Xenopus tropicalis: one gene and its partner. The protein of the gene in region 1 purifies or fractionates together with the protein of each later gene. This does not show direct contact. Links are inferred from orthologs where the notes say so. Each region holds a gene or a part of one and is shown on either strand. Other genes may lie near its edges. The genes, in order: tctn2 and tctn3.

Evidence for each region.
Region 2: the proteins of tctn2 (region 1) and tctn3 purify together in Homo sapiens (affinity purification with mass spectrometry; 3 studies listed by BioGRID and IntAct, with this or other methods). This does not show direct contact. The link is inferred for Xenopus tropicalis from reciprocal best matches to the Homo sapiens genes TCTN2 and TCTN3.

Annotation. Positions count from the first base shown.
Region 1 is NC_030677.2:160,942,200-160,946,614, forward strand, and holds the start of tctn2 (tectonic-2 precursor), read right to left. Parts: upstream 2,994-4,415; 5' UTR 2,969-2,993; coding exon 2,896-2,968; intron 2,342-2,895; coding exon 2,231-2,341; intron 1,945-2,230; coding exon 1,865-1,944; intron 953-1,864; coding exon 763-952; intron 1-762.
Region 2 is NC_030685.2:529,186-533,530, forward strand, and holds the start of tctn3 (tectonic-3), read right to left. Parts: upstream 2,912-4,345; 5' UTR 2,670-2,911; coding exon 2,612-2,669; intron 1,303-2,611; coding exon 1,179-1,302; intron 1,083-1,178; coding exon 958-1,082; intron 1-957.

The DNA of each region.
Region 1 (4,415 bases):
CTTTTTCGCGAATTGTCGCGACTTTTTCGAGCTCTCAATACGAAAGTTGCGATAATTCGCGAAAGTCGTAATGGCTATGAAAAAGTCGCGACAATTCACGAAAGTTATAATGGCAATGAAAAAGTCGCGACAATTCTCCAAAGGCATAATGGCAATGAAAAAGTCGCAACAATTCTCCAAAGGCATAATGGCAATGAAAAAGTCGCAACAATTCTCCAAAGGCATAATGGCAATGAAAAAGTCGCTACAATTCTCCAAAGGCATAATGGCAATGAAAAAGTCGCTACAATTCTCCAAAGGCATAATGGCAATGAAAAAGTCGCTACAATTCTCCAAAGGCATAATGGCAATGAAAAAGTCGCTACAATTCTCCAAAGGCATAATGGCAATGGAAAAGTCGCGACAATTCACGAAATTTGCTATGGCTATGAAAAAGTTGCGACAATTCGCGCAAGTCGTACCGGTTACGAAAAAGTTGCGACAATTTACGGGAAAGTCGTAAAGGCGCCGAAAAAATCGCAAAAATACGAAAAAGTCGCAAAATGTTCGTTTTCCAATCGGAATTTTTCCAATTCGGATTCGAATTCGTGTCTTAGTAAATCAGCCCCTAGGTGTCACTGCCCTAAATGTAGCTTGCACAACCTAATTTTCCCCATCAGGCATAAGCATCAAGTTAGGATCTCTGCATAAGCACATTTCTTACTAACACATACAGAGTATACTGATGCTTTACAAGATATCAAGAAAGAATCAATTGCTTACCAGAAATGGTCCCAGAGAAAGTTGTATTACTATAGATTTCTGCTTCAACAAGCAATGTGGCAATAGAAGTATTATTCACACAAGCAGAAATTTGAAGAGTCTGCACAAAGCAAGGCACATCGGTGCAGCAATTAGTCACATTCTGGGTGCAAGGTGTCTGATTCAAACTGAGGGTGAACACATAGGCATTCTGTAATCAAAGTTAAACATTTACAGATTACTACATGTGGTAATTTATATCTTATTTGCCCTAGATTTCTGTTTATCTACCTTTCAATGCTGCTAAGACACTGAGTTTTCTTTTCTTTTGTTTTTTTTTAACCTTTTTTGGTACCACTACAGAAGTGCCCTGGACCAGAGCATTTTTCTGCAAACAAGAGAACCGGCCTGGTGTGGTGGCTAACATTTGGTACGCCCTGGAGCAGGGGTCCTCAAACTACGGCCCACGGGCCGGATAGAGCCCCCCAAAGGTCATTTACCCAGCCCCTGCGGGTCATCAGCACTGGCCAGTGAGACACGGTTACCAGACGCGCTGGGGCCAAGGATCACGCTGAGGCAGACAGGTAGTAGCCAGGGGTGAGGAAGGATGCAGTGGGGGAGGGCCATAGTTTGTGCACTAACTATAGTCTGGCCCCCCGGTGAACTGTCTCTTTAAATGGGATTGTAGTGACCCACCATTAACTGAATGGAGACTGATTTTTGGGTCCTAAACCACAGGTTCTGCTGGTCAGATATATATCTGCATGATCATTCCCAGGAAAGTCCTAGATTTTTAAACAGGATGATGTACTATTATACCCAGAAATCAAATTTGTAACTGCTATAGTAACTTAAAAAGATTGCTTAAACCATAATAAAATGTCTTCCCATTATAAAACCATTTCCAGCAAAAAATATGGATAAAAAAATGGATATATGGATATAAATTAGCTTCTAATAGCAATACATTCACAGCACTTCAAGGGACCACAAACATGTTATTAGAAAGAGAGTTTCAGTACAATAACATAAAAAAAAATAAAAGATATACAATTATAATAAATATTTACTGGAAACATATTAAAAACGTTATTCTTTCTGATAAAGTTTTAGAAATGCTTACCACATTTTGCAAAGGAACCAGAGATGTTACCCAGGTCTCTGTGCTGTTTTGTCCATCACAACGTGGAGCTGGTATTACATCTAAGATGAAAACAGCATACAAAATGAACAGGGGTCTTGCTGCAACTCACAAAACAGCAAAATAATATGCATTATGGTGTTGCAGGGCCGTGTTTCTTTTTTCCCCCAGGGCACAGCTATATTTTCTCTGGCCTAGGAAACATATCAATTGGGTTCACTGGGGGTGAAAACAAATTGACAATATTGGGGCCCAATAGAGAAGTACCCTGAACTACTTATGGCTGACCTATGTTCTGTGGGGAATAATAAAAAATATTGTTATAATGATTTCCAGAAAATAGAGTACCTGTATTATTAATCACAGTTATAGACACACCAATAGGTGAAGGATTTGCCACATTTGTAAGAAACGATGTTGCACTATGTCCACGTAAGATGATTCTGGAAGGGTAAAAAGCTATAAAAAGAGGGAGAAACATTTAAAATCAAAGTAATGTTTTATTCACACATATAACCTTTTTCATTCGTGCCACAAGTAACTAGTGGCACATATAGATCACCGTTTGTTTCACCATTCCCGAGGGCTGCTGAGACTTTCTTTCTTTCTGCTTATACAAGAATGTCATATTTTTATTTCTAAGCACTGAAACTCAAAATATGATTATTCTTAGCAGAGTGATTTCACATGATGTTAATGGGCCTTAAAGAAAATGTATTTTAGGGCCCCCAAAAATCTTCAGTATGGGTAGTTATTTTTACAAAATTGTCATGAAATGGCTCAGTAATGACACTGTGAAGTCCCCTGACAATCATTCACATCATAAAACCAAAGCGTTCCAAGAACTGATCTCAAGAGTCCAAGTCCGTGGCACTATTGGGCAAGTATTTGGCAAATGGTAAAAAAAAATAAAAATCTAAATAATTTTACAAGCCACTTTTGACTTCAAATTTCCCACTGTCACAGCAGCTGGAATCTCCCTTGCCTATGCAATAAACCCATCACCATCTTACTTTGCGCCAATGTCGTTGTCATCACGGCAGCACATATTAGAAAGAACAGACAAGGGGCCCGCGGGTTCGACATTATCCACTGAATGCTTCAACAATAGCGCCCGAACGCGTTGCTAGGACGCCATGTCCAAACTCACGTAGAGTACAGTAACTATGACAAGCCTGGCCAATGCGCCGCCAGCACACAGTCACGTGTATGTAAACCTTTATTGCGCGACGGCTGTTTTGATGAATGCTGGGAATTGTAGTCACAAAAGGCACAATCATTTTCTGTGTAGAACAGTGAATTTGATTGGGTATTTAGTTTTGTCAGATCTCTTTCGCTTTTGGTGGAATTGAAACAGTGAGCTAAATAACTCATTAGTAAGGTTTGAGCTGTAGGGAAAGAACTCTAGTGAGTGAGTCTATTTACTAGCTAATAGGCCATTCATTTCAGACTGAGGGTTCAATGCTCCTAGCTTTAAAACTAAGGGATTGGGATCAGGGCAAACTCCACTGTCCCTCAATGAATTAACTAATATAACAATTTATAAAAGTACTACATTAACTTTTCAGCAGTGGAATGTCTAGTTATTTAGCCCCACAACATGATAGTTGAGTCCCTAACATGGGGAACAAGAAATTAAACCTATAAATTTAGCTGCTTATTAGGCCGTCCCACTGTGCCACTATAGTTACAGGGTCTGTTTCCTCTATAGTTACACCCGTGCTTAAAATGATAACTGGCCACCAAAGTTTCTGATAGTGGCTCTGGAATCAGGTTACCAGGGATGGCAAAAAGTAGCCTCTGGCTACAGGTACCAGTGAATCTATGGCCTTGAGTTTAGCTTGTGTGGTGTCCAGGGCCATAACCAGGGGTAGGCAGAAGAGACACCTGCCTAGGGCGCAACTATGGGGGGGCACCAGGCAGGTACCTCTTCTGCCTACCCCTACAATCCACGCCACCACTTGACACATGTGCATTCACCTTCTCCTACACAACCCTCTCTTAATAATACAGTCAGACAAATTCTAACTGAAACACTTATTTTCTGTCCAAGTTATTCCACTGAACTGTGGCTTTTATATCTGTAACCTCGTTATAAGCTAAGAGCATCCCTGACCAAATTATGAAAGAGGTGTGATGGTCCTGATTGCTTACATATAAAGTCTGATGGGTGGGAGACAGAGAACTACAATTCACAGACTTACCTACAGACATATTTTGCAGAATGTTTGCAACTGTGTGAGTTGCAACTCAGTGTGGCTGCAATTCAGTGTTGCTGCTTATCACAAATTTGGGACTAGTCTGCAAAATTTTAGCATGGGGTGTGGGAGTGTTCTGTACACTTGAAACACTAACAGTGCCTTTTCTGCCATAACACAAGCTGGGATCAGGCTACACTTTACACACAGTGGTTGAACTATAAGATTTGTTCTTCCTCCAGAAATTCAGTGTGGAGAGATATTGTTCTGTGTACACTTGCAAGTCAAACACTACAGGTAAGTGTGATGGTCTACATTGGGTCTGTTGCCTAAGC
Region 2 (4,345 bases), on another chromosome or scaffold:
ACAGAAAGCACTATGGGATATAAAGGGGCGGGGCCAGAGGTATTAGTGACAGAGAGCACTGTGGGATATAAAAGGGCGGGGCCAGAGGTATTAGTGACAGAGAGCACTGTGGGATATAAAGGGGCGGGGCCAGAGGTATTAGTGACAGAGAGCACTGTGGGATATAAAGGGGCGGGGCCAGAGGTATTAGTGACAGAGAGCACTGTGGGATATAAAGGGGCGGGGCCAGAGGTATTAGTGACAGAGAGCACTGTGGGATATAAAGGGGCGGGGCCAGAGGTATTAGTGACAGAGAGCACTGTGGGATATAAAGGGGCGGGGCCAGAGGTATTAGTGACAGAGAGCACTGTGGGATATAAAGGGGCGGGGCCAGAGGTATTAGTGACAGAGAGCACTGTGGGATATAAAGGGGCGGGCCAGAGGTATTAGTGACAGAGAGCACTGTGGGATATAAAGGGGCGGGGCCAGAGGTATTAGTGACAGAGAGCACTATGGGATATAAAGGGGCGGGGCCAGAGGTATTAGTGACAGAGAGCACTGTGGGATATAAAGGGGCGGGGCCAGAGGTATTAGTGACAGAGAGCACTATGGGATATAAAGGGGCGGAGACAGAGGTATTAGTGACAGAAAGCACTATGGGATATAAAGGGGCGGGGCCAGAGGTATTAGTGACAGAGAGCACTGTGGGATATAAAAGGGCGGGGCCAGAGGTATTAGTGACAGAGAGCACTGTGGGATATAAAGGGGCGGGGCCAGAGGTATTAGTGACAGAGAGCACTATGGGATATAAAGGGGCGGGGCCAGAGGTATTAGTTACAGAGAGCACTGTGGGATATAAAGGGGCGGGGCCAGAGGTATTAGTGACAGAAAGCACTATGGGATATAAAGGGGCGGGGACAGAGGTATTAGTTACAGAGAGCACTATGGGATATAAAGGGGCGGGGCCAGAGTACTTACAGTCACTTGGCAGGACACAGAAGAGATTGGGGGATCCAGGAGTAACAGGGGCAATATTTGTGGTTGGATACGGGGCGTTGCTACGGAACATGAGCCAGCTGGAGAGGCACGCCCACCTCTGCACCCTGTAAGGGGAGAGAGCAGTGTAACGTTACTGGGGGGCAGAATGTCAGTATGCAGTGGGGCACTAGGGAGGCACAGGGGGCAGATAGGGCACTTACTTGGTGCTCCCCGGGAGGCAGAAGGAGAAGACAGTTGTGGGGTCACTGAGGGAACAGTCGGGGTCACAGCAGCAGTTCAGATCACAGAGTCCAGGGGAAAGGTCACAGGTACAAACACCGACCCCTGTAACCCAGGGAGACAATGTATAGTGGGGTCAGTCCCCTTTCCCCGTTATTCTTCTTATTAACTTGTCTTTATAAGGGAGAGGCACCCTGGCACCCTGACACTGACACCCTGGCACCGACACCCTGGCACTCTGGCACCGGCACCCTGGCACTCTGGCACTGACACCGGCACCCTGTAACCCAGGGAGACAATGTATAGTGGGGTCAGTCCCCTTTCCCCGTTATTCTTCTTATTAACTTGTCTTTATAAGGGAGAGGCACCCTGGCACAGACACCCTGGCACCGACACCCTGGCACCCAGGGAGACAATGTATAGTGGGGTCAGTCCCCTTTCCCCGTTATTCTTCTTATTAACTTGTCTTTATAAGGGAGAGGCACCCTGGCACCCTGACACTGACACCCTGGCACCGACACCCTGGCACTCTGGCACCGGCACCGACACCCTGGCACTCTGGCACTGACACCGGCACCCTGGCACCCAGGGAGACAATATATAGTGGGGTCAGTCCCCTTTCCCCGTTATTCTTCTTATTAACTTGTCTTTATAAGGGAGAGGCACCCTGGCACCCTGACACTCTGGCACCAACACCCTGGCACCCTGACACTCTGGCACCGACACCCTGGCACCCTGACACAGACACCCTGGCACCGACACCCTGGCACCCACACCCTGGCACCGACACCCTGGCACCCCGGCACCCACACCCTGGCACCCACACCCCGGCACCCACACCCTGGCACCGACACCCTGGCACCCTGACACCGACACCCTGGCACCCACACCCTGGCACCCACACCCTGGCACCCTGACACCGACACCCTGGCACCCACACCCTGGCACCCACACCCTGGCACCCTGACACTGACACCCTGGCACCGACACCCTGGCACCCCGGCACCCACACCCCGGCACCCACACCCCGGCACCCACACCCTGGCACCCACACCCTGGCACCCACACCCTGGCACCCACACCCTGGCACCCTGACACTGACACCCTGGCACCGACACCCTGGCACCCCGGCACCCACACCCCGGCACCCACACCCCGGCACCCACACCCTGGCACCCACACCCTGGCACCCACACCCTGGCACCCACACCCTGGCACCGACACCCTGGCACCCACACCCTGGCACCCTTCTGACATACTGCCAAACCCAGTGCCAGTCGCGCCCCATACAGACCCTAGCGCACCTGGTTACTGGGGGATGCTGGGAAATGTTGCATTGTGGGTAGAACCCTGTGTAAGGGACAGGCCCTCAGTACAGCGGGGGGGGGGGGTTACTATCAGGGGGTCCCCTTACCTGTCAAAGCCCGAACCCCCCCGGCCCAAACCAGCAGAACCGTCAGTACCGGAACCATCGCGCTCTCCGCGTCCCGTCTCCTTGGCAACTGCCTCACTTCCGGCCCGCCATTCAGCCTCTGCGCTACCTCACTTCCGGCCCGCCATTGGTCCTCTGCGCTACCTCGCTCCGCCCACCCCGTGGGATTATGGGATATGTAGTTCTGAGGGGATAATCCCAGGGGCGGGTATAACTGCCTCACTTCCGGCCCGCCAATGGTTCTCTGCGCTACCTCGCTCCGCCCACCCCGTGGGATTATGGGATATGTAGTGCTGTGGGGATAATCCCAGGGGCGGGTACAACTGCCTCACTTCCGGCCCGCCAATGGTCCTCTGCGCTACTGCTCCGCCCAGCCCCGTGGGATTATGGGATATGTAGTGCTGAGGGGATAATCCCAGGGGCGGGTCTGGCTCTTATCTGTGGGGCGGGAAAAGATGAGGGCTTTAAGTAGGCCCCCTCCCCCAGCCCCAAATGTAATGCCCCTGGGGAATCATTATGGGGGGGGGGGTATTATATTGGGGCACAGAGAGTCCATGGGCCTTAGTGCCCCCCAGCTACTATAATGCCCCAGGGGTATCAGTATGGGGGGGTTATTATATTGGGGCACAGAGAGTCCATGGGCCTTAGTGCCCCCCAGCTACTATAATGCCCCTGGGGAATCAGTATGGGGGGGTTATTATATTGGGTCACAGAGAGTCCATGGGCCTTAGTGCCCCCCCAGCTACTATAATGCCCTGGGGAATCAGTATGGGGGGTTATTATATTGGTCACAGACAGTCCATGGGCCTTAGTGCCCCCCCCAGATACTATAATGCCCCAGGGGAATCAGTATGGGGGGGTTATTATATTGGGTCACAGAGAGTCCATGGGCCTTAGTGCCCCCCCAGCTACTATAATGCCCCAGGGGAATCAGTATGGGGGGGTTATTATATTGGGTCACAGAGAGTCCATGGGCCTTAGTGCCCCCCCAGCTACTATAATGCCCCAGGGGAATCAGTATGGGGGGGTTATTATATTGGGTCACAGAGAGTCCATGGCCCTTAGTGCCCCCCAGCTACTATAATGCCCAGGGGAATCAGTATGGGGGGGTTATTATATTGGGTCACAGAGAGTCCATGGGCCTTAGTGCCCCCCAGCTACTATAATGCCCCAGGGGAATCAGTATGGGGGGGTTATTATATTGGGGTCACAGAGAGTCCATGGCCCTTAGTGCCCCCAGCTACTATAATGCCCCTGGGGAATCAGTATGGGGGGTTATTATATTGGGTCACAGAGAGTCCACGGGCCTTAGTGCCCCCCCAGCTACTATAATGCCCCAGGGGAATCAGTATGGGGGGGTTATTATATTGGGTCACAGAGAGTCCATGGCCCTTAGTGCCCCCCAGCTACTATAATGCCCCAGGGGAATCAGTATGGGGGGGTTATTATATTGGGTCACAGAGAGTCCACGGGCCTTAGTGCCCCCAGCTACTATAATGCCCCTGGGGAATCAGTATGGGGGGTTATTATATTTGGGCACAGAGAGTCCATGGGCCTTAGTGCCCCCCAGCTACTATAATGCCCCTGGGGAATCAGTATGGGGGGGTTATTATATTGGGTCACAGAGAGTCCATGGGCCTTAGTGCCCCCCAGCTACTATATGCCCCTGGGGAATCAGTATGGGGGGGTTATTATATTGGGTCACAGAGAGTCCAT